Linked DNA regions of Arabidopsis thaliana. The protein of the gene in region 3 interacts with the protein of the main gene of each other region in a pairwise test. Each region holds a gene or a part of one and is shown on either strand. Other genes may lie near its edges.

Evidence for each region.
Region 1: the proteins of AT2G21237 (region 3) and PRA1.E interact in a protein complementation assay, tested with the Arabidopsis thaliana proteins (one large-scale study listed by BioGRID).
Region 2: the proteins of AT2G21237 (region 3) and TBL36 interact in a protein complementation assay, tested with the Arabidopsis thaliana proteins (one large-scale study listed by BioGRID).
Region 4: the proteins of AT2G21237 (region 3) and ARFB1A interact in a protein complementation assay, tested with the Arabidopsis thaliana proteins (one large-scale study listed by BioGRID).

The regions. Positions count from the first base shown.
Region 1 is NC_003070.9:2,806,366-2,810,477, forward strand, and holds PRA1.E (prenylated RAB acceptor 1.E), read left to right. Parts: upstream 1-2,394; 5' UTR 2,395-2,567; coding exon 2,568-3,197; 3' UTR 3,198-3,410; downstream 3,411-4,112. Other genes in the region: AT1G08760 (GPI-anchored adhesin-like protein, putative (DUF936)), read left to right, coding at 1-99, 393-692, 946-1,037, 1,177-2,044; AIP3 (ABI3-interacting protein 3), read right to left, coding at 3,560-3,820. UniProt on the Arabidopsis thaliana protein: May be involved in both secretory and endocytic intracellular trafficking in the endosomal/prevacuolar compartments.
Region 2 is NC_003074.8:20,083,671-20,088,631, forward strand, and holds TBL36 (TRICHOME BIREFRINGENCE-LIKE 36), read right to left. Parts: upstream 3,298-4,961; 5' UTR 3,076-3,297; coding exon 2,765-3,075; intron 2,579-2,764; coding exon 2,407-2,578; intron 2,322-2,406; coding exon 2,140-2,321; intron 1,983-2,139; coding exon 1,833-1,982; intron 1,752-1,832; coding exon 1,427-1,751; 3' UTR 1,301-1,426; downstream 1-1,300. Other genes in the region: AT3G54250 (GHMP kinase family protein), read right to left, coding at 54-198, 359-422, 506-704, 809-1,018; AT3G54270 (sucrose-6F-phosphate phosphohydrolase family protein), read right to left, coding at 3,749-3,838, 3,935-3,981, 4,145-4,331, 4,485-4,775, 4,858-4,961. UniProt on the Arabidopsis thaliana protein: May act as a bridging protein that binds pectin and other cell wall polysaccharides. Probably involved in maintaining esterification of pectins. May be involved in the specific O-acetylation of cell wall polymers.
Region 3 is NC_003071.7:9,099,738-9,103,521, forward strand, and holds AT2G21237 (uncharacterized protein), read right to left. Parts: upstream 1,479-3,784; 5' UTR 1,448-1,478; coding exon 947-1,447; 3' UTR 799-946; downstream 1-798. Other genes in the region: BPC4 (basic pentacysteine 4), read right to left, coding at 1,778-2,599, 2,684-2,752; AT2G21250 (NAD(P)-linked oxidoreductase superfamily protein), read right to left, coding at 3,671-3,784.
Region 4 is NC_003071.7:6,651,724-6,656,650, forward strand, and holds ARFB1A (ADP-ribosylation factor B1A), read left to right. Parts: upstream 1-1,939; 5' UTR 1,940-2,223; coding exon 2,224-2,371; intron 2,372-2,712; coding exon 2,713-2,783; intron 2,784-2,872; coding exon 2,873-2,992; intron 2,993-3,089; coding exon 3,090-3,208; intron 3,209-3,304; coding exon 3,305-3,464; 3' UTR 3,465-3,778; downstream 3,779-4,927. Other genes in the region: AT2G15300 (Leucine-rich repeat protein kinase family protein), read left to right, coding at 1-287. UniProt on the Arabidopsis thaliana protein: GTP-binding protein involved in protein trafficking; may modulate vesicle budding and uncoating within the Golgi apparatus.

The DNA.
Region 1 (4,112 bases), on a different chromosome or scaffold from region 3:
AGGAAAAGCTGGGAAGGGAATTTAGATATCAGGGGTTCAGATAGAACAAAATCCAGCCTTCCCAGACGTGATTTAACCCCTGATTCCCGGAGTTTAGCAGTAAGCTTTTTCAATTGTATCTTTCTTGGCTTTATATTTGCAAAAGAAACATGTAAAGTGTCATTTCCTATTCATCAGCACTTGACTTGAAGCTGAGACCACTTGTTTGAGAGCATTGTTAAACTTGTTCTATTCATTACTATCTGCTGAATCTAAGTTTGTATTATACTTTCGTCTGTTTTCCTATCAGTCTCATGTTTTTCCATCTGAATTCGTCTGTTACTTCATACAATGTTATTAGTGTTTACTGTTTTCGATTTTCTGAATATAGCTTGTATATTTTTGGTTACTAGGCTCCACGGAGAAGCACATCGAGTGAGAAGTTGCCAAGCAAACAGGAGAGGGCTAATGTATTTGCAAGATCATCGAAGGAGCACAATAAGATACAGTCAACCAAGAAAGTCGAGCCAACTGCAGTGTTGGACACCAAAGATAAAACGAGTAGGCCTAAATCTACATCTGTCGAGAAGAAATCTGTTGCAGAGAATGGATTGCCTGGGAATTTGGTCAAAGTCTCTGTTAATGGTAAAAGATTAGCGGCGGCCAATATCCAATGGAGTTCACTCCCTCCATCTCTTTCGAGGATGGGACAGGTATGGCCTTGACTGCTCTTGGATCCTTATATGTGCTTGCTTCATTAATAGGCTTTGAAGCATTTCTAGTGATTAAGAAAATTCATCTTCAAAACAAGCAGTTTAGAAATTCGATCATCCAAACTAACATATTTACTCTGGTGATTGAAGAGAACCTCTTAGTATAGCATATGCATCTTATGTTTTGGTCTTTGACATCGTGATTAAATATTAAGACAGCTTATTGAGTCATTGCTGCTATCAATATTTGCAGGAAGTATTGAGGCATAGAGAAGCTGCTCAAGTAGTCGCAATAGAGGCCCTGCAAGAAGCCTCTGCTTCCGAGAGCTTACTTCAGTGCCTCATGTGCGTAATATCTTAACCAAGTTTTATTCAGGCCGGCTTTGGATGTTTGAGGGACAAAACATAAATGTTTTTTGTATCTGAATGTTATTGTTACTGCCTTGGTGGTTTCTGAACTTTGTTCTGCTTTTCCTTTTTGTAGTATGTACTCCGATCTTTTGTCAACGGCGAAGGAAGATGATCCATTGCCAGTCGTTGAGCAGTTCTTGAAGCTCCATTCCGGTTTGAAAAACGTCCAAGTAATAACAGAGTCATTGTCCAAATTACTCTCTTTGATGTCCTCCCCAGATAATGAAGAAAACAGATCCGAGGAAGCTATAAAAGCGGCATCGGAAAAGCAGAAATTGGCAGCCTCATGGGTCCAAGCTGCGTTAGTCACTAACTTATCGCCCTTCTCTGTCTACTCCAGCAAACAAGCCAAACTTGCTGCCTCCAGGAGCAAACCCGTGATCATACTCGAGAGCCCGGGTAATAATTCCTCTAGTAAAACCCGTGGGAATATTCAAAACAAGCCAACGATTGGATCTAAACTCGTAGCACAAGGAATGATCCGTAAACACAGGGAGAACAGTAGCAGCCAGAAAGCCACCTCGGTAGCAGGGTCAGAGTCTCCACCGTTAAACTGGGTGAAAGGGAATGGTCTAAACGAGGCAACTGATCTGGCAGAGAAGTTGCAAATGGTTTCACAAGATTGGTTTTTGGGTTTCGTAGAGAGATTCTTAGACGCTGACGTGATTACATCATCCAGTCTCAGTCTGTCTGATAATGGGCAGATTGCGGGGATGCTGTCTCAGCTGAAGAGTGTGAATGATTGGTTAGACGAGATTGGATCGAAAGAGGATGAAGAAGGGTTACAAGAAGTCTCTAAGGAAACAATCGATCGATTACGGAAGAAGATCTACGAGTATCTGCTCACACATGTGGAGTCAGCAGCTGCAGCACTTGGTGGTGGTGGTGGCTCAGTCTCTTCTCCTAGACCTAAACCAATCGAAACCAAAGCAAAGAGATAAATGATGATGAAGAAGCTTCTACTTGTTTTTTTTTTTTCTTGTATATATGAAAATTGGCGGTCAATTTCTTCTGTATAATTCAGGCATCACTAAGAAGCCTACCGACGTGAAATGTTGGTATTTTTTATTCAGTCAGATACTCACTAAAGAGAACCTATTGGTTCGAAAGATTTCAACATATTTTTTATCCATTAATAACGATATCTCTTCTCTAGCGATTAAAGATTAGAAGATCAGCAAAAACAAAAATATCATTAGAAGACTTAGATCCATCACAATTCTGTAATTTTACAAAAACTATGACGATTCATGATTATGTGGAAATAGAGGCGATCGGTAAAAGTTGATTTGTTTATGGTTTATTTGTAATAATAAAAAAACTACAAGGTCCCAAAAGAAAATAATAATCACCGAACAAGTCCCTCCCATCATCCCATATTCCACATGGACTCTTTGAAATCCAAGGTTTTGCCATTTGACCACAGATTTGTGTTATTTTCAAACACAAAATCAACCAATTCCGATGAATCAGAAACCTCCGCCGTACGGTTATGGCGGCGCTGGTGGTGGAGGAGTCGGTCCTTCTTCCACTTCCAACACCACAATCATCGGGACGTTGAGTGCACGCGCCAAGCAGACGACGCAATCGATGATCACGACGCTCCGTCCATGGCGAGAGATTCTCGATCTGTCCGCGCTCTCTCTCCCTCGCGGGTATGATGAAGCCATGGCGCATCTAAAGCACAACATCTCTTATTTCCGTGGAAATTACGCTCTCGCCGTTCTCGCCATTGTTTTCCTCGGCCTTATTTACCATCCGATGTCTATGATCGCTTTCATCGTCGTCTTCATCGGATGGATTCTTCTCTATTTCTCTCGAGACGCAAACGATTCGATTGTGATTTCGGGGAAAGAAGTAGATGACAAGATCGTGCTGGTTTTACTCAGCTTGGTAACGGTTTTGGCATTGGTATATACAGATGTGGGCGAAAACGTTCTGGTTTCGCTGATCATTGGTTTGCTCATCGTCGGAGCTCACGGCGCTTTTCGTAATACCGATGATTTGTTTCTTGATGAAGAAAGTGCTCGCCGTGGTGGCCTGGTGTCTGCCGGTTCTGGTAACCGGCCACCGTCGAGTTATACCCCAATTTGAGTAAACCGGTTTGGAGAATTACTCGTAATTTCTTGGGTTTTTGATTGAAGAAGCTAAGGGAATCAATTTAGGGCTTTGTATTTTGGATTTCCCAAAGATTCTTGTATTTATATTTTGGCGTGTGTGTTTCATTTTGTTTGAATGTATACAAATTCTGGGAAAAAACAAATTGGTGTTATGGTATTTTATAGAATTGCCAAAAACATAATTTCCGATAGAAAAAGAAAAGTATGCATTAACCAGATGAAATTTCATAATGAACAAAACCAGTATGTTAAATTCAAGAATCCTTTGGTCTACACTCACAGTAGAATCATAAACTGATGCAATAGAAGAAAAACAAAGTTGGGAATAACTACTAACTAGTCTTCTTCAAGATTGATAGAATCTTTGAACTTAGCATACAATACCTTCTTCAGCGCTGCCATTTGTGTTACAATTGATTCCTTCTCTTGCTCGAGTTTCTCAAGGCTTTTGCAGGTCGCTTCTTTCATCTCTTCTATCTTTGTTTCTACGTCGTCCCTCGGCACATGAGCAAACACTTCTCCTATTTGAAAACGCACCATCTCCTCATCAGCAAGGATCAACTCGTTCCCTGCATCCTCTAGATTTTCACACTTTTCCTGCATAAATCAATTGTTTTTTAATCAAGCTAGATGCAGAAACACACAGTAGAATGCTGTTTTAATCCCCCTAATGAAACGATTGAACAAGACAAGTATCCACTTATTATTGCAAAGTCCCACATCTCCCTTTTTGTTTCCTACACATGCTGAACTATCAACACCATTACAATATCTAATTACAGTGATCTGATATACCCTAGCAGGCTTATATTCACCAACGAAGGAGAAAGTTAAGGGAGCAGTGATATGTAAGAGTGCACGGATGGTATAAGCAGGTTACAGTAGATTG
Region 2 (4,961 bases), on a different chromosome or scaffold from region 3:
AGAGTCGGAGTAATCCTGCCAAAAAGTCACAATATTTTTTAAAAGAGCCATACCACAGCAATGATGATAACAAGATCATCCCAATGCTTCTCATCTGCCAGTTGAACTGCAACGCTGTCACTTCCATCTTCTTTGCTTCCCATTGTCCACTTGACAAATCCACCAAATAAACTCCGGCAAGCACTTCCTGAACCTTGCCTACATGAGCAAACAGAAATCAAACCATGAATATCAGTACCATTTAATTCCTAGAGGAGTGTCAGATTTCACTTCACTATCACAACTCATGCATTAGTAGATGACTATACATAAATCAAAGCATTGATATATAGTGCAAGGAAGTCCACTACATAGGTACCTGGCTATTGCAGAAAGATGGCTTGGATCTTCATCTACATTCATCAACTTTGCAAGAGAAAAAACTGTAGGCAAAAAAAACAGTTTGACATAAACTACAAGCCATTCTCAAGCTCATAATCATCAACAGAGAGAAAAAGCAGAATACCTAGACAAGCAAATCCAGCAGCTGAAGATGCTAAGCCAGCAGCAGTAGGGAAGTTATTATGAGAAGCAATATGTAGATTCAATTTCTCCCAATCTTTCTTCCTTATCTTGATCCCCTTTTCCATGTCTTCAACATCACCAGCACGACCTCGTATTTCCCTCAAACAATTTTGGTACCTACTTCCAGAAAGAGATATTTCCTACACTAACATGAAACAACAACAACAACAAAAATCTTTGTAATTCGATAATTGGAATCTCAGCAAAAGGAGAGAGATCGTGATGGGAAATGAAGCGAGTGTACCTTGCCATTGAGCCACATTCGATCCCGATCAAAAGCAGGACTAACGGCAACAGTGGTGACTGTGCAGAGATGATCAGGATCAAGAGTTACGCTAATGCTATCGTTAACGGGGAGAATCCGAACCTCATCTCTCTTTCCCCAATACTTAATCACCGCAATGTTCGTCGGAGTTTGCGCCGTCACCATGAACACCCATTTCTCCGTCGCCATGTGAATCTCCAAAAGAGATCTGCAGCTTCAAAGTAGTTGAAAATGAAAGCGACGGAGAATACGACAGAATAATGATGACTCATTGCCTTTACAATTTTAAAAATATTATTTTATTCAAAAATTGAGAACTTCACTAACTGTAAAACTCTAATCAAATGGTTATTGCCATTTTGATGAAAACACCAAAACTTAACCTAAAACGTTTTAGGAAAAAAATTGAGTTAGGTAAGAAATAACCAAAACACGAAAATCATTGTGATGCATGAACTTTATGCTTAAAGGCCTTTGAGTTGTCTTGTCTTTGATATTGGGATATTTGTTAGCTGGGAAAGGATATGTAATATATAAACCACTGATTCATATAAGTAACACCATTGTTCATGAGTAAAAACAGACTCTTATTATAGCTCATACAGCATTGGTTAAGATAATTGAAGAAAGCATCTCATTCCAAATATCCGGGACACCGGGCAAGCACCAATGACTGCAATCTGATGAAGGTCCAGCGATACGATGGTGCTTCTCTTCCTCGTGCATTGCTCTCTTGAACACCGAAGGATGACCGTCTCTTCTATACGCAGACATTGTTGTGATATCGTATAAATACACTCGGTATTTCATTGTCCTTAGCACTTTGTTCAACACTCTTGACTGTTGAGGCACGTGGGGTTTGGTGGAAGAAGATAAAGAAGGCAAGGGATGTTTCTGGTTGTAGCACATCTGACCACTCTCTCTGCCAAGAATTTATGTACATGAATTAATGGTGTCCATTTTGTATATATGTTGAGATTAAGAGGAGAATATAAGAAAAAACCTCGGTGAGACAGTGCGGAAAATGACTTTTGTTTTGGATGGATCAAGATTTATCTCAACCCATTTAGCCCATGTGGTTAGTCCTCTCTCATAAGCAACCATTGGGTCCATAGCTTTGAAGATCTTATTCCCATCCATGTAATAATCCCACCTAAAACATCAATAGCTTGCGTTACTGTCACAAATCCCAAATCTGATGTAAAATGAGACACAATAACAAATACAATGAACATAGACGTCTATGAACCGTTATACACTAATCATTTGCTTTTGAAGGAAAGATGTAAGTGTTTATTCAGATGACTTACGAACTCCATCTCTGAGAGTGAGTCCACCAGTGAGCGGAATCGAATACAAGAACATCTACACCACGCCAATATCTAGCATTGTCTTCGATTGAGTCCAAATGTAACACCCTTTTACGGTCAACTCCTCTCTTGAGTTCCACAAGCAGAGGAGCCCAACAAAACTCAATTGATGTCTCAAAATCCTGTATAGTAACCAAATTTAATAGTTGCATCTACTAACCAATGATGTATATGTGATTCAAAAGGAGATTTGTGATTATTAATTACCAGAGAATGGAAAGACATCGTAGGACCATTGTAAGTGAGCTTCTTACGATGAGTGGGAAGAACAGACTGTACTAAGCAGACAAGAGATTCCCACTGGTTTCTCATCATTGAATCTCCAACCAGCATTATTCTTTTTCCTCTCATTTTCCCAAGAAATTTCAATGCGTCAAACCTAAACACCATCATGGAAAGAGCCACTATTTTGGTTAATATTAATGTCTCTTTCCCATTTTTCATTAGTCAATTTATTCATCTTGCAATTAACCATGCAAAGCCAATATAAACCAACTTTTTTACTTGATGAGACAGAAATTTTAAAAAGAAGTAATGTAAGAAGTAAGAGGAGTGTGGAGTGTGCCTTGGTAGTGAACAAGCCTTAGGGATCCATCTCCATTTCTGGTAATAAGAGTCGGGTCTTCCATTTCTTTGGCAACTTAGTGCAGAACTCAGATATGGACAGCTTGAATCATAGAGCGGATACGTTTCATCGAACGTCCATTTCCCCACCGAGTAATCACACCTCTCCTCTCTTCTTTCACGCCTCGTCTGCAAGGCGTTGAGTGGATCATCGTCCCCTACTAGCCATAACTCATCAAACTGAGACAAAACTACTTTGCCAAGGATGAGACACAAAGATAAGAACAAGACTCGAGTCTCTGAGGTAGCCATTTGACCAGGAAACTGAGCAGTGTGGGCTTGGAGAAAGAAATAATATAAAGAAGATGGGCAACAAAAAGTGGATAAAGTGAAAAAGGGCGTTAATTACGGAAAGTGGTGGTAATTAGTAATTAGACTTATGCTTGAAATCATGTCCCGTGACTTGCGTCTCCTCTTCTCTCCATCATATCATTTTTTTATAAAAACAGATTACAGTATCCAAGGCGGGATTTGTGAGTTTGGTGGAGCGTTTTGTATATGGTTTAAAAAATCGAAATAGTTTCTCAACAAAAACAAACAGAAATAGTAGAAAACAATCCATATAAACCAGAAAAAAGAATTGCAAATCAAACACAATGGTAGGTTTTGTAAGACTAAAGAAATGTAGGTTTTGTTGTAGAGACCCAAAACTCTCCCTGCCCTCAAAAGGTCATGAACAGACCAAATTCAGGACCCAACCTTCCTTATTAATAGTTTTAAGTTAACCCAAATATGTAAAAAAGTATTAATGAAACGAAACCAAGACATGGCAACACCTTCTTCAGCTTTTAGTATCCTTCATGCTTTATCAAACTCACACCATCCCCAAACAAACATAACACAAAACAAACACTATGCTCTTTGGTTAGCTTCTGTCCCAAACAGATGTCATCTTTAGTATGTCAGTCGAGATTAAGATAATCCTTTAGAAAATCCATTTTTCTTGATCATCTGAAGAAGATTCATCTAACCATGATTGGTGGATGTGCATCCACGTCAGCCTTTGCTTTTCCTCCTTTCAATTTTAACCCATTTTCAGTTATTTTTTTCCAATATTATTTAACCAATCTAATCGTTTGAAATCTTAAAAGGATCATAAATCAAGGTTTACCTTATAACTCAGTAAGACTTTTGTTGAACAAGACCGTACTTTTCCCTCTGTAAACACGAGCTAGACATTAGAACATGGAAGCAAACTTCTACAGTATACCCTTATGATGAGAAATCAAACAAATCAGTTGATCGTATTTTCTGCTAAATCATTTCCTAGCTCGATAAGTCACAAGTATAAGCCATGTAATTGAAGAACAAGATTTCTTACCAGATAACTCATGCTTTACAAATTTTGCAAGCCATGTATCTGAACTGATATGAGAAGACGTAACATTATCCAACCAAATGCGAAACTTCTTTTCCTTCCCATCACCGTATAAATTTTCCATCTCATCTATCCATTCATGTATCGGTTTCTCCACTCCAGACGGATGAACAAAAATACCAAGTGGACTCTGAAACATTGCAAAAGCATAACAATTACGTCAACTAATAAGTCTACACAACACAAGCAATCAAGAACATCTTCAAAATTATCAATTTGAGCACTTGAATTTCCATTACGTTAGATGCTAGAGAGCTTTTTTTTGTCAAATAAACACACTTACAGAGAGCGATTTCAAATTCTGCAAGTACTTGTCAGACTTTTCCACCTCTCCACAACGCCATCTCTCATAAAACAAATAAAACTGAACAACCTCATGAGCAGGATTCAAACTTTCCCCATGGAAATTTTCAGTGTCCATAACATCTCTAGGAGAGACATTTGGTCCCAAATTAAACCTCTGAATAGCTTCTATCATACCAGCTCCACACCTCTCAGACGCATGAAATATTTTTGGGTTGTCCTTTGCATTTTCTTCATACCATTGCAATAATTCTTCATGCGAATTGCTAACCTTAAACAGTAAAAATATAAGCACAATCACTCACGCGTAGTCAAGTATGATCGAACCTAAAAAAAAGTAGTTGGGAACTAACCATTACGCCATATACGTCAGAAATGTTGAAAAGCTCAGCATCATTTCCAGAGTCACCACAAACAAGTGTGTTAGAAGGCTGCTTGCCTTCAATATCCAACTTGT
Region 3 (3,784 bases):
GATTTTAGCAATCACTTAATTAGTAAATCTTTTCTATGCACTACATGGACCCACATTAAATTACATTACTTAATTGTAGATATTTCAGTGAATCTAAATTAAATTTTGTAAAAAAAAATGTATTTTTATTTGGAAAAAATAATTGTTGTTAGCAATAAATTAATAGATACTATAAATGATTGTAAGTTTGTTTAGAAATTAAATTTACCACATTTGGCTAAAAATTGGGTAAATCACCATAACAGTATTCTATATAAGTAATTTATCTTAGACCAATTATGTAGCGACAAATGTACATTAGTAGATTTACTTCCTTGTTTTTTTGGGGCCACCTTTCGGCCACTTGATAAGTAAAATTTCTTTCTATTTGGGCCAAAGTAACTTCTTATTGTAGAACCGGTAACGAAATTGACTCAAACAACCCATGAGACTCACACATATTATTCCTCGCTGAACTGACACGTGGCATTATTTCAAAGAAGTAGAGATTTTTACCTTGAATGTAAAGATTTTTTATTTTAGTTTTTCCAAAACTCTACTTTATAGCAATTCAAAATTTTGCAAAAAATACTTTCCCTAAAAAACAGAGGATCTAGTATTTTACTTGGGTTGTTACAAAATTTCAAAGAAAAACCAAAACCCATTGTAAGACTTTTTCATCTTTTGCTTTTAACTAACAATATATAGTACATCAATATATATATATATATATATATATATATATATATATATATATATATATATTGAACTCAGCTCATAAGAGGGGAAAAAAGAAAGAAAGATGTAATTCGAATTTTTGAAGATCATTGGTCGTTGGATTATTGGAAAAGATAAAATGCTGAATAACAAACATATCACAAAAGAGATTATTAGATTCTTGAATCGATCTGATAGCTAACCACATCAAAGTTATTTTTTTGAATGAACCACACTAAGTTTTAATTTGCTAACGAGTTCGACATGATCTTACTTCGCCGTGAGACGGGAATGACACTGCGCGTTTTATCCTCGGCATCTTCTTGTCATCCGGAGCAACCACAACGGCTAAACTTTGGCAGCTGTTTTTCACCGTTTCTTCAGTTCGTTTAGTCGTCTCGGTACTCTGATTCTGCACCACACACGGTTCTTTGCTTGGAGTTGAATCCACAATCTGATCTGAGCCGCGCCTGACGAGAATATGAAGACCGATCAAGATGACAAGAGGAAGACACATCAAGAACAATGCATAGTAGATGATCCACCCGAATCCCGTGTGACTCTTTCCGTGACAGATCCACTCAATGACTAAAGCCATTCCTGAGGTGAATGTAGTCAAGCTGCTTAGGACAAAAACTTTGACAATCCCCGGATTCGGAATTTGCAAGAAGGCTCTTGCGGCGCCAAGAAACCATATCTCTTGTGACCGTTGATGCGTCTCCACATGCGCCACTGTGGCTTTCTCCATCATTTTGTTGTTGTTTATGCTTACTTTGTGTTTTATTTTTTGTTCTCTCCTCTCGGTATAAAAAGAAACTAACAAGTGAAAGAAAAAAGGGGTAACAGATTTTGCTATCAAAGGGGTAACAGATTTTGATTTTTAACTGTTACGATTTTATTTTATTTTTTGAGGTCAAAACACAGATTTTTTATGCAAACCATTTTTGCCCATCCAAAAGATACACATAACAATGGTTTTACCATACACAACAAAGAACAAACTATGGACAATAAAGACAAAGACAACACCTAATCTTAAGAAGACGAGAGAAACATACTTGGACTGTGTAAACAACAGAGGCTACTTGATAGTGATGTAGCGGTTTGTCCCGTGCCTAGCCCAATAGTCTTTAAGATCAACAGGACACGAGAGATCATATCCTTCTGCTGATAAACGGCTGAGTAATCTCGAGAAAACGTTTCCGCTCATTTTCCTACCGCCCATCCGAGAATGCCTCTTGTTTGGCATCTGCGGTAATGGATACTGGGATAAGGTGGTTGTGCAGCAAGACGATTGCCAGCCGCCATTTCCCCATTTGTAACACTGACGCGTAGAGCCTGTGCACGAACACATGGGTACAGGCATTGTCGTCTCATCGAAGGTGACTAAGTTCAAACCGACATCTTGACTGTCCCAATCTGTTCTAGATTTCTTTCCAGGAGCAGGAACTCGACGGTTCAGATCTTCACCCACTTTTTTCACCTTTGATAGTCCCTGCTTGTTCTCTTTCTTCCTTTTGTTCACCACCTTCGTGTTTGTAACCTCAGGCGGAATAGTTGACAAAGGGAAGACTTCAAGTTTGTGGGGTTCCCCAATACCAAAACAATCATCTCCATCAACACACTTCCCACCAGACAAAGCAAAGTTGAGACTATTTTCATGGTGTTGAAGAGCAGCATAAGCATTATCTCTCTCTATCAAAGCTTTATCTCTCTCAGAAAGAGCTTTGTCACGTTGCTGAAGCGCTTCGTCCCGAGCAGCGACAGCTTCCTTTTTAGCAGAGACAGCTTGATTTCTTTCATGTACAGCAGCGTCTCTCTCAGCAAGGATGGACATGATCTTCTTATTCATCACCAACGCATTATGTTGTTCCTTAATCTGATGCTGGGGAATCATATTCCACTGTAACAAACATTCTTTGCTTATATAACTTCAATCACACTAACAAAAACATATCTTTAGGAAACCAAAAATCTTAAGTCTTACCATAGATTGTGCACCTTTGAAGTAATCGGGCTTGAACCGCGCATTATCATACTGACCACCATTCTCCATAACTCTTATAATCTTCAAACAGTGAAACACCGAACCAATCAAGCTTCTCCTCCAAACACACTCAGCAACAGTGAAACCAAATTTCAAACATTGTGATTCGATCTATGAAAACAATTGAAGAGTAAGAATTACAAGCAGATATTAGCACACTGAACTCGCAATTCACTATCTTCAAACAAAATCAAAACTTCTCGAATTGATCTGCCAGTTAGGGTTCCGCAATTGATTCAGATACCAAAATCAATCTGAGCTAGTCAGAGAAACAGGTCTTAAGGAACAATTTTACGAAAATTGGAATAAATTAGGTCAAGATCAAAAAGGTCGAATCAATCTAAACCTTCCATGACAAGAGATTATTCCGCGAAACAATAGAAAACAAGGGTGAAACTGAAATTATAAACCCTAGAGATACAACACATTCAAAATTGATTAACAAATAAATTAAAGAGAGGAAAAGGCGCGAAAGCTTACGAATTCGATGAGCTTCTGGAAAAAATCTGGGCAAAATGGATAATTGATCGAGAAGAAAGATCCAAAGGGTAGAGAGAGAGAGAGATAGTGTCTCTGTCCGCGAAGAAGCTCAATGTACTTACTTCGTCATTTACCAAATTACCCTCTTCTCTACTACTAAACAAGAGAAATCAAGGGTATACTCGTCTTTTTAAATATCCTCTTTCAGTTACAATAATGATTCATTGTGGATTTAAGCATATAAATAGAGAAGAGAGAAATCTATATCACTTTCCATCAATGTGTGATATTGTAGTACTTAAGAAATCATAATCTGTTTAACAACATGAGTTTATGTATGAAAGATAGGCTCACAAACATTTGAGAATGTTTCAGGTAAAGCTATGGCTTCTTCTCGTTGTTTATCTTCTTAAGCTTCATTTATTCATGTAGATAGAGAGAGTGTGATCAAGCGTAGAGATCAATGTTCCAAAACTTGGCTGGTTGGTTCGTGCGGTATTTCCTCTCCATGCTTTTGATCACTTCCATGTCCTCTTTCGATAGTTCGAAGTCGAAAACCTG
Region 4 (4,927 bases), 2.4 Mb from region 3:
AGAAGCCAAACCCCAAATGGGATGTATATTCATTTGGTGTTATACTCTTGGAACTTCTCACAGGCATAGTTTTTTCGGTCGATCGAGATTTGGTTCGCGATTCTGAGACTGATGAGAAAAGTTGGTTCTTGAAGTTGGTCGATGGGGAAATTAGGGTTGAGGTGGCTCACCGCGAGGATGAGGCGGTCGCATGCTTGAAGTTAGGCTATGAATGTGTCTCCTCCTTGCCTCAAAAGCGACCGTCTATGAAGGAAGTGGTGCAAGTGCTAGAGAAAATGTTTGTTTAGTTGTTTACTTTATTCTTAAAAAGATATCATATATTTGTTGCAATGTAAATGGATTACTTTGTGTCATTTGAATTGTTGTTCGTTTTTTTCTTTTTGTTTCGGGATAAAAGTATCATGGTATCTTTTGTTAGAGCATATCTAAGAAGCGCAGATATTGTCGCATGATAAGCCTGAAGTTACTAAATATACTCTCAAAGCCTACAAACCCATGTATCTTAGGATTTAATAGCAAGTTTAGATTCATTTAAGTTTAGATTCCTAGCAACTCTCCTTTTCTCTTATATGAAATCAATCTAAGAATCTTTGATCTTTGTGTTCTTAATTAATATTTCATTTTTCTTATGACTTCCTTTCATCTAAATAAAGCTTTGAATGTGGGATAAAAGGAAACTTTATTTTGTTTGTTGCTCTCGTCTTTTTTTTTTTTTTTTTTTTTCAAACCGATGTTAATTACTTTGAAAGTTTTATCTTATGTATTGGTTTTATTTTTCTTAAGCCACTTCTGGTTTTCATATACACTAGCACACCTCTACCTGATTTTTTCTTATAAATATATATCGTAAAGATGATAAAACAAGTAAATAAATGTAAAACAGTTGAACTTAAAAACTCTCAAATAATTTTAGTCACTTCAAGTAAAACGATTTCCAGTTAATTCTGACATTATGTGAATAAACTTAAGCTTTCCGTATATATTCATAGGAGAAATCTCAACATTTTCTTTAACAAAAAAAAAAAAAGAGAAATCTCAACATTTTTTGGATATGAAATAAATTAACTAAATGAATGATTTGTTGATATTAATTTGAAAAAAAATTGTCAACTACCTGAAGTTTAGCAAACCACATGGCCATCAATGCCAAGTATACTAGGATATTCAGCTAACTGAAGTATATGGATTGAATGACAATATATACGAAGTATACGATGTTATATGATCAACATTATAAATGGAGAATCTCAGGTTAACCGCTGGACTGATTCCGACGTTGACCAACAAAAATATTCAAAAATAATATTTCAATTTACTTTTAATATTAAAAAAATATATATTGTGTTGTATAATAATAATAAAATCTATATCCAATATAAATATATTTTGTATATATATTGAATGCATTAATTCTTATAATAGTTTGTTTTTCAATTTCAAAACTAAATTAAGAGTGTAATTTTTTTTAAGAAGTTATTTTTTTAATTAATAGTTATTTATATTATTAATTAAAAATATTAATTTCTTATTTCATTAAAGTTTTACTAAAATTTCAATTTTGAATTTTAAAAATTATCATACAAAATTTAGATTAAAAATTTATATACTCAAGTTTTTTGCATATCAGTTTCTAATGAAATCATATGTATTGGTTTTTTTATTCTAATGATTTATTTCTAATGAAAATAAGAAGTTAATATTTTTTTAATTGATCATCTTCCCTTACTTAATTGTTTCTAATAAGACTTATGCTCTGTTTTATTATTGCTTATCAAAAATCCGGTTTGATATTTTGTTCCATTTACCATCTTTATGCAATTCCAGTTTCGTGTCTTTCCTATGCACCTCTAATAATATTCCATATCGCTGGTGATGTACTCAAGGAATAAGATTCTGATATATGCTTCTAGAATGAGAAAGACAGAACACAGAATCTGACCAGTCCTGCTCTGTGTCCTAATGAGCTTTCGAGTTTGGAAAAGGACACAACATTACCTCTCTTCCTTAGGGAATTTATTCTTTTCCAGCCTTTCTTCTAATGGGACTTTGCCTTTTTGCTTGCCTTTACAATCTGCAAATCAAACTTTCAGTTATTTTTTCTTTTCTCTCATGTGTGTAAAATACTCTTCATAGATCTCATATAAGTCCAAGCTTGAATTGAAATATCAGAAGCTGTGTTTCTTTCACTGTATCTAAGATCCTTGTTTTTGTTTTTTGTTCTACATGGGAGCCAGATTTTCACGTATAGCGAAAAGGTTTCTTCCTAAAAGTAAAGTAAGGATTTTGATGGTTGGTCTTGATGGTTCAGGGAAGACTACCATCCTTTACAAGTTGAAGCTTGGAGAAGTTGTCACAACAGTGCCTACTATTGGTATGTGACATGGACTTTTCTTCTCTTGTTTTTTTGGTTCTGTTGAGACTTCTATCTATTGATTCTGAAGTTAGAGCAAGATGTTGATTCACTCTATATATCTATTTATTGAGGATTATGAAGGAAACTTTGTTTGGCTAGTTAGAACTGCTCCAACCATATATACTTTTGTGTATCTTTATTGTGGATCATAGCTCATGTGTAGATACTAGATCATAGTTACATTTTTATTTACCTTTGATTGTGTTTGCATTGGTGAGGAAGAATATTCTTAATAGCTTGATAAATCTCATATTGATGATTAACCTTTTTTGGTTTTTGGTTGTTTTGCGATTTTCCAGGTTTCAACCTCGAGACAGTAGAATACAAAGGCATCAATTTCACTGTATGGGATATAGGAGGACAAGAGAAGGTAAACTCCATTTTACTTCTCTATAAGTGCATATAAACACATATTTCTCTTCCTTTGCCTCTCCAGGCTTGACCTGTCCGGTTCAACAGATTCGCAAATTGTGGAGACACTATTTCCAGAACGCGCAGGGGCTCATCTTTGTAGTGGACAGCAGCGATAGTGAAAGGTTATCAGAAGCTCGAAACGAGCTGCATCGCATACTAACCGATGTAAAATTCATATGAAACTTTAAAATGTTACTTATTGTCTCCTCTTTTCTTTTTTTTAACCCTAACAACTTTCTTTATTGGTAAAAAAAATCCACAGAATGAACTAGAAGGTGCATGTGTACTTGTCTTTGCGAACAAGCAAGATTCGAGAAATGCTTTACCTGTAGCCGAGGTTGCCAACAAACTTGGTCTACACAGCCTATCCAAACGTTGTTGGTAATAATACTAAAAACTTCCTCTCGTGTTGGTTATATATATATTTAGAGGTAGAGGGATAAACAAAAACAATTTTTGTGATTGTGATTGGTGCAGGCTTATACAAGGAACCTCAGCTATCTCTGGGCAAGGATTATACGAAGGACTTGAGTGGCTATCGACAACAATCCCCAACAAACCCGAACGGTCTACTTCGGTTAGTAGTTTCCGGAGTGATTCCTATGAGAGGAAGCTGGTCCGAGGTCCGAGGTATTAAAAGGCTTTAAATGGTTACTCCAACGTAAAAAACAGAACGCACCAGAAAGGGCAAGTGTATTTTTGTACTAGCTTGTTTGGTATACGCTCTGATTCGTACGAGCAACCAAAATAGCTCTCTTCTGCGTTCTATATTTGTATGATTATGTTGTTTTGTTTTCAATGTTTCTCATTGAGAACCATATTTGACTATTACTCATATTATGGTGTGAATAAGGTTTTCTAGGGTATATATCTTTACGAGTTTACGTACACCCTTTACATGATGAATATTTTCTCGTTCTTACTTTAGAATTTAACATATTTTATTTTATTTTTGATAAGAATATAAATCTATATAATAATAACAATCTTAATAAATATTGCAGTTGTAAACAATTGTGTTTTTTTTTGTTATTGCAACTTTTCGTTAAAATAATTTTTTCTGTTTTAAACTAAAAACATATATTTTACGGTTATATTTTCTTAGAAAATTGCAATTCGTATAAATGCATATTACTGAATAAAATTAAGAAAGCAATAACAAAATTATGTAAATTATGTTATAAAGACACAATTGCAAAAGACATTTATTCGGATTACTATTATTATATCAAAAATATTACAACAGTTCAAAAAATAAACCGAAAATTACAATGGTTCGTCAGGTAAACTAAATATTGCAATAGTTTAATGAAACAGTTGCAAAATGTATCTCAATATTTGTTTTAATGGTTAAAAATTAAACAATATTATGAAAAGTTATACCAAGAGATACGATCGTATATGTTAAATATACCGAAAGTTGCAATAGTTCATCAAATAAACTAAAAGCTACAACGGTTCATAAAACAAAATCAAAAGTTGCAATGATTTATCAAAAACATTCTTTGATTCTTCAAGAACAATCTCATCAAAATTATTTCTCACAATGACCTACACATCACCGTCGTTTTGCGTTTCATTTAGGAGCAAGTGAATTAGTATTGTATGAGGGATGTTAGATGTGTGTTAAAATATGTCGAACGACTTACATTCTGGTAATGGATCTAACTTGTAGAAAAGCATCATTTTGTCTACTAAAATGAATTGTTACAACCATTTAGTTGAACTATTACAACATTTGATTTTTGAATCGTTGCAACTTTTAGTTTATTTTATGAATCGTTGTAATATTTAGTTATCTACAGTTATGTCTTGTGATGTAACATTGTAACTACATAAAACAAATTATGTTTAATTTTTAATAGAGTTGTTGTAACCGTTTAACTGTTGTAACATTTTGTTTATTTGACCAATCATTGTAGCTTTTAGTTTTATTTTATAAATTGTTGCAACCTTTTGTTTATTTGATGAATCATTGCAGCATTTGATGCATTAAATATATATGATCACATCTCTTGATATAAATTTTCATAAACTATTATTTTCCATTTTTCAATTTCTAAATATATATTTTAAAAAATTATTGCAAATACTTAATTG